Schizosaccharomyces pombe: one gene and its partners. The gene in region 1 interacts genetically with each later gene. Each region holds a gene or a part of one and is shown in the gene's direction. Other genes may lie near its edges. The genes, in order: gsk3, ppe1, kti12 and set3.

What was found.
Region 2: of gsk3 (region 1) and ppe1, extra expression of one is lethal in a mutant of the other (dosage lethality), as found in Schizosaccharomyces pombe (one study listed by BioGRID).
Region 3: mutations in gsk3 (region 1) and kti12 together harm fitness less than expected from each alone (positive genetic interaction), as found in Schizosaccharomyces pombe (2 studies listed by BioGRID).
Region 4: mutations in gsk3 (region 1) and set3 impair growth when combined (synthetic growth defect), as found in Schizosaccharomyces pombe (one study listed by BioGRID).

The regions. Positions count from the first base shown.
Region 1 is NC_003424.3:928,042-932,769, forward strand, and holds gsk3 (serine/threonine protein kinase Gsk3), read left to right. Parts: upstream 1-1,789; 5' UTR 1,790-1,897; coding exon 1,898-1,916; exon of another isoform or gene 1,917-1,964; coding exon 1,965-2,155; intron 2,156-2,636; coding exon 2,637-3,590; 3' UTR 3,591-4,156; downstream 4,157-4,728. Other genes in the region: SPOM_SPAC1687.14C (calcium-binding protein), read right to left, coding at 172-402; SPOM_SPAC1687.23C (uncharacterized protein), read right to left, coding at 1,118-1,432. UniProt on the Schizosaccharomyces pombe protein: Interacts with cdc14 which is thought to play a role in the initiation and completion of mitosis. Involved in the positive regulation of mis12.
Region 2 is NC_003421.2:2,051,535-2,057,569, forward strand, and holds ppe1 (serine/threonine protein phosphatase PP6 catalytic subunit Ppe1), read left to right. Parts: upstream 1-1,976; 5' UTR 1,977-2,083; coding exon 2,084-3,001; 3' UTR 3,002-5,535; downstream 5,536-6,035. Other genes in the region: SIN component scaffold protein cdc11, read right to left, coding at 1-1,018; heat shock protein Ssa2, read left to right, coding at 5,709-6,035. UniProt on the Schizosaccharomyces pombe protein: Has a role in chromosome segregation. May provide a dynamic connection between kinetochore microtubules and kinetochore chromatin. Negatively regulates mis12.
Region 3 is NC_003424.3:4,392,285-4,395,846, reverse strand, and holds kti12 (elongator complex-associated protein Kti2), read left to right. Parts: upstream 1-1,889; 5' UTR 1,890-1,957; coding exon 1,958-2,129; exon of another isoform or gene 2,130-2,274; coding exon 2,275-2,948; 3' UTR 2,949-3,034; downstream 3,035-3,562. Other genes in the region: tsn1 (translin), read left to right, coding at 255-317, 356-431, 480-716, 755-837, 880-1,048, 1,106-1,140; Sec7 domain-containing protein sec72, read left to right, coding at 3,423-3,562. UniProt on the Schizosaccharomyces pombe protein: Elongator complex-associated factor that is not a structural subunit but rather transiently contacts the complex.
Region 4 is NC_003424.3:5,038,981-5,044,638, reverse strand, and holds set3 (putative histone H3 lysine methyltransferase Set3), read left to right. Parts: upstream 1-1,894; 5' UTR 1,895-2,157; coding exon 2,158-4,737; 3' UTR 4,738-5,093; downstream 5,094-5,658. Other genes in the region: ribosome biogenesis protein rlp24, read left to right, coding at 22-160, 408-842; etp1 (monooxygenase-ferredoxin fusion protein), read left to right, coding at 5,536-5,658. UniProt on the Schizosaccharomyces pombe protein: Transcriptional regulator that acts via the formation of large multiprotein complexes that modify and/or remodel the chromatin. Required for both gene activation and repression.

The DNA.
Region 1 (4,728 bases):
ACCTACAACCAAGTATATAAAACAGGCATCTATGGCTTGAAAACAAAAAGAAAACACGAGGAAATATTGTTTAATCTTTTTTAGTACACTAAGTCCATCATCATTAAGTCATTAAAGTGCGAGAATGAATCCCATAAATAAAATGAAGTTTGTCTCCATTGATAAACAATCTCAAGATATATGAATCCACAATTCGGCAAATTCTTCACGCGATACTTTACCATTAGTGCCAGCTAAATCGAGCATCAACTGAAGCTGTTCTTTAGTCAAATTTTCCCCTAGTTGAGCGCAAGATCTTCGAAGGTCTTCAAAGTCAATGTACCCTTTGTGTGTCACGTCAAAAAGATCAAAAGCCTCTTCTGCTTCTTCATCCATTTCAAGACGTTTAGTACTGACAGACATGGTTCCCCTAAACTAAAAAACTATTCAACAAGGAAACGCAAATGCAAACAAATGAGATAGTGCCAAAAATGCTAAAATGAACGAAATAACAGTAAAAAAAAAGAAAGGAATGAAAATCAGCGTCCGATGGCTAGAAGAGATATAATTTGTTCAACAGTTATCAAAAAAAGACTAGAAGTGAGTTAAAAATCCAAACGAAAAGACAAGGAGGAATAATATGAACAGATAGACAATCAAAAGTGGAATAACTGCGTTTAAATACTAAGTAATCAGGCTATTTGATGCAATTTGAAGGTGGTACAAATGGAAATTTCGTGGTGCGATAAAGTGGACGAAACTTGACCTTAATGAATATATGGTATAAAAACGTTAAGCTGAATTTTTTTTTCTAAAACTGCCAAATCAACAAGGATATTGAAGAGACAGTTGGAAATCTCAAAATTTATGTATAAAATGTGTTCAATTGACTTTATTTACGTGCCAAGCCAACCTACTAAGGCGTTATTAGCTAATATAATAAATTGACCGAAGCTAAGGTTGTGCGCAATATTTAAATAACAAAACACGTAATACAAGATTTTTGATGAGTTAATAGATCGACTTGCAAAATGGCTTTAATGATGTAGGCTATCAAGCATAATCTCCTTTAGCGGTGTGGCATACTAATACTCGTGTTATATATTATATATGAATGTTTGACATTATTTATACACATTCATTTTTTAAGGATTCTTACTTTGTTTATGTATTTTTTAACATATTTGAGATGCTTCTGAGACATTGGTTCGCTCTCTGATTTCGTAGTTTTTCCATTTTTTCCTTTGAGACAGGGAGGGATACGCGATTTGCATATGCTAGTATAAATTTGTCTCCCTGTGAATGTTCCATTATTTACTGTATATGAATTGCGACAGCAGTTGCTACTGAAAGGTAGGAGCACAATTCTGATGGCATTTGAAAAGTCAAACTTCCTACTAGATTTTATGTGAATTATTTTAAAAAATATGTTTTTCTTTTCTAAAATCCACATCGAATTCAGTGTTTGCTCTAGCAGTTTCAAAGTATATCACTCTAAATTCGGTAACACTATTCAATATAACGGACTGGAGGAATTAAAACTCACAATGTGATAATCGCGTATACGTAAGATGGTTAATAACCATGAATTCAATTTCTCAAGCACGAATTTTTCATTAATATACGTACTTTTTTATGGTTATTGTAATAAATAAGAGGAAAGAATGAACCCTCTTTTCTTTGATACTTGCGCCGAGAGTTTACAGTTTTATGATTTGCTCATGTCCCGTAATGTTACCTCTTAGAAGTACGCACTTTGTATCATGCTACTATACCCCAGAGATTATTCTATGGTAGAACTTCCTCCACTACCACAACCCGTACTCCACGTTCATCACGCCAAGAAAACCTCCTTTTTAAGTCCTCTGATAGCTTTTTTTTCATTTTGTAATTTAACATTTCTGTATCATCATCCATAATGAATCATGGTACTAAAAGTAAGTTGGCTAACTTCGATAGTGCTGTTGTTCTAACCGTATAAATAGTTCCTGTGGACCCCTTTCGTATTATAAAGGAAACCGCTCGTGATGGGTCAACGGGAGAGGTGAAGCAACTTTCTTACACTTCGAGTAAAGTTGTGGGCTCTGGAAGCTTTGGCGTGGTCATGCAGGTTCATTTAATTGAATCAGACAGCAAAGCCGCTATAAAACGCGTTTTGCAAGATAAACGGTTTAAGGTATGTATTTTTATTGAATGCAAAATGCGAAAGGAAGGGTTAGATTTTACTTTATTTTTCTGTGAAAACCGCACACTTTTGTTTACGCTGAAGATACGTAGCGCGCGTGCTTCGTCAATATACGTAAGATTCATTTACAAAAGATTGGTCGTCTACATGCCATAAATGGTAAGAGAGTAGTGTTATTAAAACATTACTTGCTTTTGTGCTTTCTCTTCTTTGAAGTGTCCACAGGCTTACCATACCTGTTGTCATGAAATTGTACAACTCAAATGCCTATTGCTTTTTTTTTGCATCCATTGTACGATACACAAGCTTTTTTTAGCCAGTATTTGGATGCGTTGAAAATTTAGTGTATTCGTTTTGAACATATTTTTCCTTTTTCCCTCCTCCATTTTTTGCACTTCTTTCTAGATTTATAAAAAAACTCAGTATTATAAATCTTCTCCAATGAACCTTTGTTTCTAACACTTAATTTTAGAATAGGGAGTTACAAATTATGCGAATTATGAAGCATCCAAATATTGTCGATTTAATTGCCTACTATTATACCACCGGTGATAATTCCGATGAAGTCTATCTAAATTTGGTTCTAGAGTTTATGCCTGAAACGATTTATCGTGCTTCTCGTCTATATACTCGTCAAAAACTTTCTATGCCAATGCTGGAAGTCAAATTGTATATATATCAGCTTTTGCGTTCTTTAGCCTACATTCATGCTAGCGGTATTTGCCATCGTGATATCAAACCTCAAAATCTACTATTAGATCCGGAAAACGGAATATTAAAGCTTTGTGATTTTGGTAGCGCAAAAATCTTGGTTGCTGGTGAACCAAATGTCTCTTATATATGTTCTCGTTATTATCGAGCTCCAGAATTGATTTTTGGAGCTACTGATTATACTCACGCTATTGACATCTGGTCTACTGGATGCGTGATGGCTGAGCTTATGCTTGGACATCCTCTTTTTCCCGGTGAAAGTGGCATTGATCAGTTGGTAGAGATTATCAAAATTCTCGGTACTCCTAGTCGAGAACAAATAAAGACTATGAATCCTAATTATATGGAACATCGATTCCCACAAATACGTCCACAGCCTCTTTCACGAGTGTTTTCTCGAAGTGTTCCCCTTGATGCATTGGATCTCTTATCAAAAATGCTTCAATATACACCTACTGATCGCCTTACTGCTGCTGAGGCAATGTGCCATCCCTTTTTTGATGAGCTTCGGGATCCTAATACTAAGCTTCATAACTCTCGTAATCCCGATGCTTCTCCTCGTCATTTACCCGAATTGTTTAATTTTTCCCCCTTCGAACTATCCATTCGTCCTGACCTTAACCAAAAACTAATTCCGTCCCATGCTCGCGATGCTTTACCCGTGAAACTTGATGATTTTGTTCCAATTCCAATTCATCGTGCCCGAATTGATTAAATGTAACGGGTATATGCATTCATCTTCTAAAGTTCTTGTATATCCATTTTTGCCACCAAACTTATTTTACTTCTTTGTTGTATTACGCATTAATATAGCCAGTGAATCTGCCTTGTTGTGCGTACATATACCAATCGCTATCTATACTGATTCTACAATGGTCTACTTGTGTGGATATTCTTTTCGTTCACTTTTTTTTTGTCGTTATTGGTGTTGAATAAATCAAACCTGAATTTTGTTTTGATGAGAACTAAATTTTTTCGATCACGATTATTTTCTTAATTGTTATTTTAGGAGTCATAAGTAGACCATCTTAGTTTGCTGAAAGTTTTTCAGCGACTTTAAAACTTTAATTGGATGAGAAATGTAATCGGTAATTCTTTCATTCTGGAAAGTATACTGCAGAATCTCATATATACATATATATCATAATTCTTATACTAGTAAAATGTTTGTGATTGATTCAATTAATATTTTATGGTTAGGTTTCAAAAGAATGTTTTGTTTTTATTATTGTTTAATTCATTTTTTTGTCCTCATTAAAAATTCTTTTGGTAGAGTCATTACTAAGTTTTTGCTTCGTAGACTACATGAAAGAAGCTGGTGAGGCGAAGTAATATTATGATTCAATACTACCTAAGATATAGCAAACATCAAAAGGGTACAAAATTCTAGGAAATCATCTGGCAACGTTAGATATCAATATGTAAATAGAAATAGAAAAACATGTAAATCTAATTACATACTAAGTCAATAAATGGAAAGGAGTCTGGTAATTTTTGATTAATTAGCAGTGGTTTACAAACGAATAGTTACTAGTTATTGCAAATCAAAATTAGTGTCGATGACATGTGTAAGCTTGACATTCATTTTATTTCAAAATAGAAAAGTAAAGATAAGAGCAAAATTTTCATTTCGTATACGAAACTAGCAAACAACTACAACGACGTGAACAGCAAAAACGAGTGTATTTGAAGTAAATTATTTGTGAGATGATAGTACCAATCAACCCAACTGAACAAACAACGTTTCAAAAGGGAGGTGGTAAGAAATTGCAAAGCAAAAAAAACAAGTCATTTGAAAAGAAAGGAGTGAATGACTAGATGCGAGACTTCCAAATTTTCTGGATTTATCGTTC
Region 2 (6,035 bases), on another chromosome or scaffold:
TACTTTGAAGACTTTTTAAATGAAGTTGATCACTTAAGGAGGGAAATGCATTAGAGCTATCTTCTTGACTTACTTCAACTGAAATTTCATCTTGTTCCTCCTCCTCACGAAGTCCGCTGAGCTTTCGAGGAAGAAAAATTGTAGATTCTCGTCCCGAATTAGGCATTCTTCCTCGCAATCTTGCCATGACTTCTTCAACCTCTTGATAGAGATCTTTGGTATTGAGGCTAGCCTTTCGTTCAGTTGTACGCATAGGTTTTTGTGGTCTTCGTGGTTCAGGGAGTGAAAATTGTTTTTCCCCATTTTCAAATGAATTGGACTTTACATCTTGAGTTAATTGATTCAAATGCTCACGAGTAAACGGATCACTAGCTCCTTGGAAAAGTTTAAGGGGGGATGTATTATTGGGCTTCAAGGAGGGAGAAGAAACAACGGATGAGGATGACGATGCATTGCTAGCATGGTCCGTATTTTGCTTTTCGTGAACCGAGTTAGACCTGGTATTAGATTGTTGACTTTTCAAGCTTCCTTCTGAGTATTTTTTGCTAAACTGAGAAGAGGAGATAGATTCTTTTTCGTAATCCTGTGAAACGAAAGGATCTTTAGAAGGAGAAGATTGCATGTTCGATACATTAGATAGTTTACCAACTGAAGAAGAACTACGCCTAGAAGAGTTATTACTGGACTTTTTGGACGGATTTTTTGTTGGAGACTTTGAAGGGGGGCTTTGTTTGCTGCTTTCTTCAAACATATTTTCCAAATCCAACCTTGCAAAAATATCACGAGCAACAGGGTTCTTTGCATTCACCTGTTTCCATTGAGGAACATCCGGAGCATCATTTCTTCCTTTCTTAAACGTTCCATGCTCTGTCGAAGTTCCTGAACTACCACGACCTGTAGATTGAGTATTGTTTACATTTGATGTGGTTGGTGGTTCACTAGAATTGTCTGACCCTTGTTCTTGTGGCTGCGGAATCCATTCTTCACTTAAATCATGTTCAAGCCATAACTGTTCCATGATTTCTGAAAAGCACACATACCTTCCATAGAAAAAAGAAGTTTTGTTTACGTCTATGAGACGCGACGGGATGTCGTGGTACTGGGACTCAATCACCCTTTTGCACAATTTGACATAGGATATTCAAGCGTATTCGTAATGCTGCTTATCATATTTTACGATATTTTCCACAATAAGGGTATAGCGTTATTTTGTTTGTTACGTTGAATTCCAGTAAATTTATTTATTCAGAAGGAAAATTATGGCCATAAGTATTTGAGGAAAAAATCAAAGCTATAAGTAGTTCTAAGAGTTGATAAACTTGTGCATGAGAGATTCACTTTATTCTGTTAACTCGGAAGACTCGATAAAAAACAATTAATAGCAATTGCTTCGGTAACCTTCTCTGTACGATTTTTCTTTTGCCTACGGTTTCGCATACTTGACGACGGAGATGCCATTTATATCAACAAGATATCATATATTCTTCATGACTTTGAAAGCTCTTTAGTAAGCAAGTTTTTCACAAGTTGGATCTACGCTTGCAACAATCTTCGAACTGATCCTAAATTCGCTTACTATATTTAAAGGTTATGGAAACGACACTTTTATTGTCGTTCTACAGACAACGTTTCTCGTTATGCTACTCTCTCATCTTCGCCTCATGACCTAGACTTTCAATCGTTTAAAACTCTACAAGTATTTATAATTTAAAGCAATCCCACCTCGGTAATTTAAGAAAATTTGCAACAAAATTTGACGTTAGCAATAAGGATAAAATGTGTTCGACGACATCCCAATTTAATCAGCGGACTATATAAATTTGTATATAAAAGGTCATTTCCACATGTAGACTTTTTCATACGACTTTTGAATGTACCAAACATCCATATCTGATAAAGACTTGGTACGCCGTTAATCGTTACAATACGTTAAACACCCCTCTTAAGTATTCAACGTACTAACTTACGTACTCTCCGCAAACAACATATTTAATTAGGAAGCCAATTTCTAAATAGGAAAGTATTGAGAAATAACTGTGTTTAATAATCTAGAAGAGATCCTTGAATAATTTGTGCTACAACGATGTTTGACTTGGATGAATGGATCGCTACAGTAAGGAAGTGTAAATATCTTCCAGAACACCAGTTGAAACGATTGTGTGAGATGGTAAAAGTTATTTTAATGGAGGAGTCCAATATCCAGCCTGTGCGGACTCCCGTTACTGTTTGTGGTGATATACATGGTCAGTTTTACGACCTTTTGGAACTGTTTCGAGTAGGTGGAGAATTGCCAAGCACAAATTATATATTTATGGGTGATTTTGTGGATCGAGGTTATTTTAGCTTAGAAACTTTTACGTTATTTATGCTTTTGAAAGCAAGGTACCCAGATAAAATTACATTGCTTCGTGGTAATCACGAAAGTCGCCAGATCACTCAAGTCTACGGGTTTTATGATGAGTGTCAAACCAAATATGGAAATGCAAATGTTTGGAAATATTGTTGCCAAGTTTTTGATTTTTTGACTTTGGCAGCGGTTATCGATAACAAAATTTTATGCGTGCATGGTGGATTATCTCCGGAAGTTCGCACATTGGATCAGATTCGTATTCTTGCGCGTGCTCAAGAAATTCCCCATGAAGGCTCATTTTGCGATTTGATGTGGTCTGATCCAGAGGATATTGAATCTTGGACTGTTTCGCCTCGGGGAGCTGGATGGTTGTTTGGTTCTAAAGTTACTACCGAATTTAGTCAAATCAACGACTTGACATTGATTGCTCGTGCTCATCAACTTGTTCAAGAGGGCTACAAATATCATTTTGCCGATAAAAATCTTGTTACCGTTTGGAGTGCTCCCAATTACTGCTATAGATGTGGAAATGTGGCAAGTGTTATGAAAGTAGATGAATCTTTGGAACCGGAATTTCGTATTTTCTCGGCTGTTGCCGACGAAGATCGTACCGTTCCCCCTAGCAGAAAAAGAAGCGAGTATTTCATCTAACTTTGGTATGTGCAAGTCAAATATCTTGTTTTTTATGGCACACATATACCCCCTCAAACATGTAATAGTTTTTGTTTTTTAAAACGTAGCTTTTTTTACTTCCTTGTCCGACACTTTCTTTCTCTCTTCCAGTTCTCAACTTCCATATTTTTATTTCCGTTTGCTTTGCGCGTGAGGTATATTCTATTTTTCCTTGGCAGCTTGTTACGCAAAACGATATTATAAGTTACATGGGTTTGTTTTTTAATCTTTTTTTCCTAGCTATTTTCAGTCGCTATAGTTTAGATTGTTTCCCTTCAAAAAAGCGACTTGGTGTTTGCAATTTTATTTCACCTCACATTGTGATGATATTCCCTTAACCTTTTTTTCGCAATAGCATTGACTTGCGTTACCACACTGTTCCAGCAACATAAAGTTACTTAGTGCCCAAAAATTCTTAATGATCCCTTCTCCATAATTTTTGTTTCCATTACTACGCGTCCATAAAGCCAATAATCGCATGTTGCAGTGCTTGCCTTGTCACTCTTTTGTCAAGAACGTTATACATAATTCCTCTCGGGTTTGCGTCGAGCTTGCTTTAATTGGGGTTTCTTGGCATCTAGTACGATGATATGTATATCATGATTTTTCTCAGTTTTGTCAGTTAAGATTAAGCAAGCAAGGGTGATTTTTGATAATCAATTTCTTATATATAAGTTTAGTATGCATTATTATATCTGTACAGTTCTTTGGACAAATTTTCTTGATAATATCTCTGCCGATATATCGTTTCTGTTTCATGCTTCGCTTCTCTTACTTTCTACTTACCTTTGTAAAATAATGTTTTGCAAATTGTCGCTTGCTTTGCTAAGGAAAGTCAGTCAGTAACATAATTTGCAGTTTTAATAAGCACCTGTTCGATCATTGCACAATTTTTTGTTCGTTTGACCGGATTTCGTAGTATTTGTATTTTTTTTAAATCATTCTTATTTACGAAAAGAAGAAGGAGTGGTTTGTTTGTTTTTGAAGTTGATAAATTTGTCTACGAGAAGAAGAGGAGGGATATTCAGCGTGCGAAAATTGATGCCTGAAAGAGACTAATTGTCTTCATGTACTCTGATTATCCCAAATTGTGTTATACAGTGCATACATGGAGAATATATAAAGCTTTTTATGTATCTTTTTAAGATGTCTTCGATACAGTGATGAGATGAGTTGAAATTTTTTTTATGACCTCTCTGAATATGGCCTGGTTTTTCTTTTTTTCCGTTGAGGACATGGCATTTTTCTTGCGTCTGAATGCTGGATTTAAAATGATCAGTTTTATGTGTGTTATCAAGTGGCATTGATATTGGATTTGCTGGTTTATTTGAAAATGAGAGATATTGCGAGAATTGGGATCTTTTTATTCGAATTCAGTTAAACTTGTTTGTTGAAAAAAATTGGTAAAAGCAAACGGACAATTTATATTTTTCTAACCCCAATTCTAGGGTTTTGTTGAATTGAAAAGAAAATTGGGCTTTCCGAAATTTGCAAACGCTCATCGATCTATGATCTTTTTCATTTATTTTCTATTTTCATTTTCTTAAATGTCTTTGCTATCATTGAAGTAAAACCGTTTTCAGTTGCATCTTGTTTTACAAGCTTCTTTCCATATCCTTTTCACTTGTGTTCTACAAAGGTTGTTTATTCTTGTAAATAATTTAAAATAGTTTGAAACGAGCCATTTTCAATCAAACTGCCCGGACTTGTGATCGTGTTTATGACTGTGTGTCTAGTGAGCTAATGTTTCGCATAGGGCTTTTATCGCACACAATTTTCATGTTTAACTATATATAACTTTTACGAATCCCCTTCTACAACGTTAGTAATGCGCTGGTAAATCAAAACCATGAAATTTTGGATATTACAGAACATTTCCCATTCTATTTAAGTGCAACACTGTAAAACATGTCTATGTTACATGCATCAAAAACGATGCTTCTTTCATTTGATTTATGAAAACATTTAACGTTTCATTTTTTATTATTTCTTCAAAATTACCCCCTAAATACTTTCTAAAGAAAACATGCTGATTCCAATTTCTAAACTCATTGCACCTGCCAATATAAATAGAGTAAGTAGAGTGACTCAGTGTTAATACTCAACGGGTCGTATTAGTGAAGCTCCTTCCACTATTCATCTTTCCATTTACTGATTTATCTCGTATTCAACCGTAATTTCTTTTAACGATTTCTAAGACTTCTGGGCATTTATTGCACTCCAATGCGCTGTCCTCTGTATCCCTTCCGGCTCTTTCCACGCTCTTCCAGGACTTTCGAGTTCGTTAAATAATTTAACGGATTGTTCGATTTCCTTTTTCGCTCTTTACCAAACTGCTTCATCATGACGTACGGTGTTCGAAAGATTCTCTACTGTTCTACCCAAACGTTCTGTAAGGTGCTTTACGAGCGAGGGTTAGGGTTTTGGGAAACTTCGAGAACCGTAGCCTAATGTAATAAATACGATGAATATCCCACCCTCCCAACATCGTGTATTCCTATTACTTGCATTAATATCAATTAAGGAGTAATAAATCATTTTCCTTATAGGAAGTTAACGAAGAAAGTTATCTATTGCATCTTAAATAAGGAGTGCTATATTAAATTATTTATATCCCACGTTCCTTTTTATAATCCCCAAATAAACTTTAGTCTTTTTTATTTGTTTTTTGTCTTTTCACATCAATATGAGCAAATCAATCGGAATTGATTTGGGTACTACCTACTCTTGTGTTGGACACTTTTCCAACAACCGTGTCGAAATTATCGCCAACGATCAAGGTAACCGCACTACCCCTTCTTATGTTGCCTTTACCGATACCGAGCGTCTCATTGGTGACGCTGCTAAGAACCAAGTCGCCATGAACCCCCACAACACCATCTTTGATGCCAAGCGTTTGATCGGCCGTAAATTTGATGATCCTGAGGTTCAGTCTGACATGAAGCACTGGCCCTTCAAGGTCATCTCCAAGGATGGCAAGCCTGTTTTGCAGGTTGAGTACAAGGGTGAGACC
Region 3 (3,562 bases), 3.5 Mb from region 1:
CTTCTTCAGTTACATAATATATCATTTTACATATAAAAGATCTAAACAACCCAAGCGTTTCTTTAGCAGCTAGTAATAATTTTAGTTAATAACTTGCAAAATACCCGCTAAATTGATTATCTTTATTTTACGACTTAAGAAAAAGGTTGGTATAATCTGGCTGATAAATATCACAACGGTCGTGTTATTTGCATACTGAAAACATCATTCGAATATCAACACTACTCAACAGCATACATTACAGATTAAGTCGAATGAATAAATCAATATTTATTCAGCTACAAGATCAAATTGATAAAGAACATAGTATTCGGGAGGTACTAATCTTGGAAATTATGACAAACTAACATTACAGAAACTGACTGCAGAGGTCGATTTGTTAGACGAAAAGTTAAGAGTTTTGCAACTTCTCTTGGCAAACTGTGAACAAAGTAGAAATGAAAATTTACAAGAAAAAGAACATGGACTAACTTTGGAAGATTTAGAAAATCAGGAAGAAATTTTAGAAGCTCTTGAGATCATTAAAAGCAAAACCAGAGGATTAGCAGAATTGGCATCGAATTTTCCATACTATAAATATAACGGAGTCTGGGATCGATCAATTCAGAAAGTTGTTTATTTATATTTGCTAGCTTCCTGGACCGGTCGTTTAGATAAAAGTTTAAGACCCACGTACAGCCTTCTATCGCTTTCCGAAGTTGGTCAAATTTTGCAAGGTGCGTAAATTATTTTACATTTTTCTCACAATCTTCAGTCCCGGTTTTTCCAGAAGAGTCCACTTTTCATCTTTCAATTGAGCAATATTTGCACGCAGTACTATCTCTGTGTTCTGAACTGGTATATATTCTATTCAACAATCCAAATTGACACAATTTCTAGGCTCGTCAATCTGTAAACTCAGTAATATCTGGAAACTATCATATTCCATTTGAGGCCCTAAATACTATTCAAAAAGTTCATTCTTCTTTTCAAGTACTCTCTTTGAAAAACGACTCCTTAAGAAGACATTTCGATGGATTAAAATATGATTTGAAAAGATCTGAGGACGGTATGAAATTTACGTGGATTTTTTTTTTTTTTGATAGTTTATTTCTGACATATGCAGTTGTTTATGATCTTCGGATACATAAATTGGTTTAAATTGCTAACAATTTATTTGCCAGCTGTACGCTTGACTAAAATTGAGCCGATAAAATTGCTTTTTTAATATTAGGTCTGCTTATTTGCTATGAAACTGGCAGTCCTATGATGAATGCAATTATATTTCTCTTTCTTTAATTTTGTTACACTCTCTGGCAAACTGAATAGTTATTTAAAAAAAAAATATTTCAGCCTAGGTTTCTTTAAGTTCTGATTTTTCTTTACCCAATATTCAAGACGTTTTCCAGGGTACTAAATTAATCATTGGACTGGTATACAACATGTGTTATAAGTTAGTCGCATTTTACCAGATACATGTTAATGGCGGCATAAGTAGATACTTTTCTAACTTTTAATCAACTGCATTTAGCTTATATTTCTTGATGTCCTATGCACCTTTAAAATCTTTCAACAAATGATTACTATTTTTAAATTGAACAACCCTGATTGCGTAGAAGGCGTGCATGTTTTTTTAGCGATTAAAATCCGGGGTCTTACTAGTGTTAATCCTTAATTCTTTTAGAACAATTGATAAGGTAAAGGGAAGCAAGATTAAATTAAAGAGACCGCAAATTGAAATTACTGTGTTTTTAAGCCTAAGCAATACTTACTAGTCGTAAGTAATAAGTCAGTACCGAAATTGAGCGCATTACGAAATACAAATTAAGGATAAAAATTAACTGTTTACTAATGTTTAACGAACTAGTAATTTTCGTTAAATTCATGAAAAAATATATCAAAAAAAAGCTGGAAGTTTTCAAACATATGTTTTACGGCTGATTTTATTCAACCTTCTATTTTGTAGAACATAAAGAAAATGCCATTAATAATTGTTTCAGGTTATCCATCTTCAGGGAAAACAACGAGGTCAAATGAACTTAAAAAGGCTTTAGAAGATCGAATTCATCAAAATATCGACAATACAAAGGATTATCGGGTGATAATAATAAACGATGAGAGTTTAAACATTGAAAAAGAAACATATCGAGGTATGTTTAAATAGTTATCTTTAATGATTTAGTTTTTGGAAATTAGCCAATTCATTTTTGGCTTCAGATTGTGCCCAGCTACTCTAGATGATGGGAGAATCCGTATATGCAATTTTTCGTAATTCTGGTAACTAATTTGTCTTAGAGTCCAAGAACGAAAAGGCCGCTCGTGGCCTTCTCTATTCTGCTGTTCAGCGTGAACTTTCAAAATCTACATTCGTAATTTGCGATGCCTTGAATTACATAAAAGGATTTCGATACCAGTTATATTGTGAATCAAAGTCTATGTACACAACTCATTGTGTGATTCATGTTGCTGTTCCTCAAGATTTATGTCGAAAATTCAATAGTAACAAGGAACAGCCGTATCCTGACGATGTTCTTGAGCAATTAATGTTTCGTTATGAAGAACCGAATGGAATGACACGATGGGATTCCCCTTTATTTACTGTCTTGCACGATGATGCTTCTTGTCCTATCGATGACATCTGGTCAGTTCTTATTCATAACAAAAATGTCAAGCCTAACCAAGCTACAATGGTAAAACCTCCAGCTGAAGTCAACTATTTATATGAATTAGATAAAACTACTCAAGACGTAATCATGCTTATACTGGATAATTCCAACGATACCTCCTTGATTACTGTACCAGGGAGCAAACTTCAAATCGCATTACCCAGTGTTACAGTATCTCTTCCTTTACTTCAAAGATTGCGCCGTCAATTTATCCAAATTAACCGGCAACAATCATATAATACCAATGTTCTCAAGGAAATGTTTGTCGAATTTTTAAATGGTCAATTTGAAACCTTGGACTGATATCCTTTTCTTAAACTTTATGATATTTTTTTTTGGGATTTTTAAGGGGACGAAAAAATGTAGCCTAATATTAATACTTAACTTTGTTTGTTTCTTTTTTTTAGAACATGTTTAAAATGGTAGAAATCGTACATTTTGTTTAATTCCTTAATCCTTTTACAGTTTAAGGAATGCTGTCCTGTAAAAAAGAAATAAGAAAACGTTCACGGTCAATATCGACAATAAAAGTTTCAGTAAAACAACGAATATTGTATAAATCTAGTTATAATGTTTACTATTTAATCCATACTGTAATAAAACAATTTATTATAAGTCTCGCTCGTTTGCTTTATATAAGTAGCACATTGAACCGAGATCTAACGTTCGACACATTAAGGCCGAAAACACTTAGCAAAGACATACTCCGCCTTATATTTCATTGCTAAAAGTTGGCTCGTCTAGACGGCAATTGGCTTGAACGTGACCGATGCCAAAATGCAGGATGCCTCTGAACCTGTGATCAATATGCCTGCTCTGCCTATGAACTCCGTGAATGAGCAACATGACAGACACGAAGATCTTCCAGAAGTTGGAACAACATCAGTTACTAAAATTATTAATGATTCTGACAACGA
Region 4 (5,658 bases), 4.1 Mb from region 1:
TTATTACTAACGGAAATTTAGGGTACATACTTGCTATTTCTGCTCGGGTCCTGTTTACCCAGGACATGGAATAATGTTTGTTAGAAATGACTCCAAGGTCTTTCGTTTCTGTCGCAGCAAGTGCCATAAGAACTTCAAAATGAAGCGCAATCCTCGTAAGGTATGTTTTTTTTATAATAAAGGAATGCAAAAACGTTATACAGACTTGGTTGAGGAAGATGATTGATTTTGAAAGAGGAAAAATTTTTTTCTGTTGCCTTGTTTTGAAATGATACTTTTCTTCTTCAAATTCTACCTTAAATGGTGTACTTTTTCCTTTATATGCCCATGAACGAAGAAAGTTTTCTATTGTTTTTTTAAATGTTTTGCTTCCACCTATATGTATGTATACTAACTTCAATGTCTAGGTTGCTTGGACCAAAGCGTACCGTAAGGCACATGGAAAGGAAATGGTTTATGACACAGCTCTCGCAGTTACCGCAGCTCGTAGAAATGTTCCTGTTCGTTACGACCGTAATGTCATTGCAACTACTTTGAATGCCATGAAACGGGTTAGCCAAGTTCATGCCAAGAGAGAGCGTCTGTTTTACAAAAAGAGATTGGCTGGCAAACGTGCCCAAGAGCTTCAAGAAGCTCAAAAACTCATTGCTCAAAATGTTCCTCAATTTACCGAACCCGAAGGTGAGGTTGAAACTGCTGAGGTACAAGAACCCCAAATTGTTTCCGACGAGGAGTATACCATGGAAGAAGAAGTTGCAGAACCTGTCAAGATTCCCGTCCTCGCCAAAAAACGCAAAAACAAGAAATCTCGAAACTCATCTTCAGCCATGCAAATGGACTAAACACTCTTCTTCCTACAAAAATGTAACTCTCGATCTTCCGTTGGTTGCGTCCCGCTTCGTTCTTTTATTTTATTTTATTTTATTGTTTTATTCCTTTCAAATTTACAAAATAGTAGAAGAGAAGACATTTTTGGGGAGTGGTTTTCTTACACTTTCGAACTCTTTAGACACTTCGAAAACGTGTTTTTTAAAATTTATCTTGCATATCTAAAGTTGGCATTTGGTTTCGGCTTCTCTTCTCGTTTGGTTACTTCTTTGGACTTGCATGCTACGTGCAGATTAATATGGTTAATAATGGATTTTCGTGTATACATACTTGTAAACGAACCTATCTTCAGTTTGGAGCTTGTACAAGATACAACAGTCTAACAGTTTGAAAAATGGTTGTTTAGGAATAAATTGGTTTATATTATTAGTTTCGTTTATCACAAATGCCTCTTCGAAATGTAAAATTCTACTAGAACGATAGAACATTGCTTCATTATTTGGATTCAATTCTCCATGAGGTATATTTAGTAAGTCATAAAACAGTAAAGACTTTGTCATTTATGCTGGTTTCCTTGCATATACATTTCTCTATAGTTGACAAGCCTATTCAAGTCTCATATCACTGTGGAACTCATGAAAACAGATCCCTCTCCTTGTAAAGCTGTTTAAACCCTACAGTCCAATGCTAAAGGTTGTTAATTCTTTAGAGTTGCGAGTCCGTTATTGACGTTTTCGATTGCTTGCGCACACTCACTAACACCATACATTAGCTAACTACTGACACATTGCACCTGCCGTTTATCTCAACTCATTGTCTTAGTAGATGATTTTTTTTTTTCAAAATGGTTTCTTAGCAAGACTCATTAAAAACTCCTTGACAGTTTTATTACCTTCTAAAATATGTAAAATGAGAAGTTTCATAGAGAAATGAACTATTCTTCAACATCTTCTTCTCTTTGTTTTTACCGAGGAGACGTTAGACTGCGGAAACGTGGTTTATGGGACGTGTGTTTACACTCGGTGGATGGAAATGTTGAAGAGCGGAATAATCGCGACGTCGTATCAACTACCAAAATCGCGTATGCAAATTGAAAACAGAGTATTTGTTCAACTTACATGGTTTTTCGAGTATTTATATACTAGATTCCTAGTTTTAGGAGAGTTCAGATAATCGAGATAGCCATTGGTATAGTTGGGGCTAAAATCTTTGCTTTCATAAGAAAGCAGTAATTTCCAAGGTTAAATTGCTCCTGTACAGAAATTAGCGTTTATGAAATACTTCTTTACTTTGTTATAAGTTGATCGTTTTCTCTTTGGTTAAGTTAGCATGTGGAAAATACGATGCGTTTGTCCATTCGAGGATGATGACGGATTCACCATCCAATGCGAAAGTTGCGAGGTATGGCAACACGCCGTTTGTGTAAACATAGATGCAAATAATGTTCCTGAAAAATATTTTTGTGAACAATGCCAACCTCGTCCTATCGATGCCGACAAGGCGCATAAAATTCAACTAGCTAGGTTACAGCGCGAAGAAGAGCAGTCTAGGATATTATCGCGATCCCGTTCTTCCAACAACAAGAGAAGAACTAGTTTTGGCAAAAATGGTGCTAGTCCTACACACTCTGCGTCACCGAGACAAGGCAATAACACAGGCGCTAATGGCGCTTTATTTTCACAGTCTACCAACTCTTCGAACTCGGGGTCTTATCGTAACAGTGTGACTGGTGCAACATTGCCCAATGCTCATGCTCCACATTCTCAGAATCGCAGACGAAGATCCAACCACCTTAACAACCCACCAGAGGCTCCAATCACCGAGGCTTCTAACGAATATGTGTATTCGTTTCACTTGGAATACGTCCCTTTGGAATCAAACACCTTTTCTGCATCTGCGCTTGAGTATTCTAAGAATTTGGATTTAAAGAATTTAGATGAATCCGAAGTTTTAATGGATGGATGCCAAGTCGTACCTATATCATCTTCAAAGTTTTGTTGTAGTCGCTTTGGTTTGGTGTCAACTTGCGAAATTCCTCCAAATACACCCATTATGGAGGTGAAAGGAAGGGTTTGTACGCAGAATGAATACAAAAGTGATCCCAAAAACCAGTACAATATTTTGGGGGCTCCTAAGCCACATGTCTTTTTTGACTCAAATTCTCAGCTTGTTGTTGACTCACGGGTTGCTGGTTCAAAAGCGAGGTTTGCGCGTAAAGGTTGTCAGTCAAACTCCGTCGTTTCAAGTGTTTACATGAATGGGTCTAACAGTGTTCCTCGATTTATCCTCTATTCAACTACTCACATAGCTCCGGAAACAGAGATTATTGGGGATTGGACTCTCGATATTTCCCATCCATTTCGCCAGTTTGCGCCTGGTATGTCGCGACCCTCCTTCAATATGGAAGAGTTGGAATTACTTTCAGAAGTGCTTTCTACCTTCCTGTCGTTTAACGAATGTGCCTCACAGGATAAGAAAAACTGTGTTTTTTCCAGAGTTACTAAATATATTAAAGCGGCCCGCCGCGCTTCTACTGCAAACCGTGTCAGTGTAGCAAAAGACCGTTTGTCTCTGACACCTTCCTCAACCCCTTCTACCCCTAGCCCTGCTGAATCATTACCGCAACCTTCAAACCCCACATCGGTCTATGCCAAATCCTTGAAAGAGTTTTGGTTAGATAAGTACCGTCTTAGTATTTTGCAAAAATGGCCTGCTGTTAAGTCATTACCCACAGAAAGTGTAGGAATCGATGTAGTCATGGAGCCGAAGTTACAGCCATCTGTGAAGGAGAAAAAACCAACTAAAGATTTACAATCTCCACTACCCTCTGTTGAGGAAGATTCCTCTAATAGGGACAAGAAAACTGATATTGCTGATTTACACACTGATTCTAAGGTGGGCATTGCAGACGTCTTATCGCCCATTTCACCCGATGCTGCATTACAATCCGATGGTCCATTGAAAAAAGCAAAGGAACCTGAAGAATCCTCGATAACCCCTACAACTCCTCCATCTTTTAATGTTGGAGAATCACTAAGTAGGCGATCAGCCTCACCATTACAACATCCTCGAACAAGCCCAGATATGCTGGACAAAACTTCTCCTTGCAAAAGAGGATTAGGAACTATTACGACAGTCCACAAAAAGCATGGTTCTGTTGATCATTTGCCGTCAGTTAAAAGACGCCGTAGCATTGCAAATGATTTTCATGGCAAACCTGATTATAATAAAAGATCGCTATCTATCGAAAGGAAGCCGGAAGCCTTTAAGACTAAAGGTGACAGACCACATAAGGTCCATCCTTCTTTCCATAGAAATTCAGATTCAAAATTGAAACTCGAGCCGTCGAGTAAAGAAAAGAGTGGGTCCATGTTTTTTAATACGTTAAGGACTGTAAAAGATAAATCGCATGTTCACGACACTCAAAGGTCTTCTGACGTTAACTTTTCTAGACAGAATGGCACTCGATCCCATTCACCTTCGGTTAGTCCTGTCGGGTTTTCGTTTGATAAATCTCCTGTAACTACGCCTCCTTTGCCGACAGCTCCAGCACCAGTTATAACGAGTCGCCATGCTTTGGTAAACAACCAATTTCCTACGAACAATCCAAACATTTTGGACCACAAAGCCAACAACGGTGATGATATCTCGAATGCGTTAAATACTTCAAGAAGCGAAAACAAGCCCAATTCGAATCTGGTCCAAGGAAGTGTAGTCAAGCCTAGTAACACTTCAGCCTCTGCTCTTCCTACCTCAGCACCGAAGAAGCTATCTCTTTCTGAGTATCGACAACGACGTCAACAAAACATTCTGCATCAACAGTCGAAGGATAATCAAGCACATGGCGATACAGCTAGGCCTCACACCGTTCCTGCTGCTACAGTTTCTAACCCTTCATTTACGCGATAAAAATTCTAGAAGATGTTGTAAATCTTGAAACCATATAAATGTGTGGATGATTTTTTTTATTGGATATGGTATACGAACAAGTTTTCACGATTCTAAAGTTGGTACGATGACTGCATCTTTTTACCTTCATATGTATTTTCATTTCATTTTTTTATTATGATGATTGGTACTCGGAGCATATTTTACTGTCACCTGCTTCTGCATTCTTTTCTTCTTCGTTTGTAAATATTTAATGACTAAGTGTTTGGGCGAAAACTCTAGTTCCTTTTTTTTTTTTTAGTTTCTTTTGATTCAGAGCAACGAACCCTCAGTCGTTGCATTTTTCTGTTCCTAATTTGCACGTTTAGAACATTGTACAATATAATAATATTAATTTATAGCAGTTAAATGATTTATGTTTGTCATATAGAAGTTTCGGTTCGTAAGATTATAAGAACTAACTATTTAAGATGTCAGCTATTTCCGTATGCGACATGTACTAGATTAAATAACTTTTTGGATACGCAAATGAAGCTAGTACATTTTGAGTATTAAGTATCATAAATATAAACATCGATTCAAATATGCTACGTGCAGATTTCAGCGAATTGTCGCATCAAATTAAACTATTCATCGACGATCCACTCAGATCTTGTATATATCAAACGGCCTACGTTAATATAGCTTGTCTACTTATAGCGACTCTGAAAGTGCGCCGTTAGATTATTGTGGTATAGAACCGGGAGGTTAGGTACCATTCCTCTCTCTCCATGAACCTACTTTTTTAAGCGAAACGCAAACAAAAGTAAACAATTACCAATGAACATTTCACGTTCATCAGGTCTGATGAGACAGTTCCTGCTTCAGCCCTTACGGAAAGGCTGCGACATTTCTTGCCTTGGAAGGTCAAGTTGGAGAATGAGCAGGAGCTTCTCTGGATCG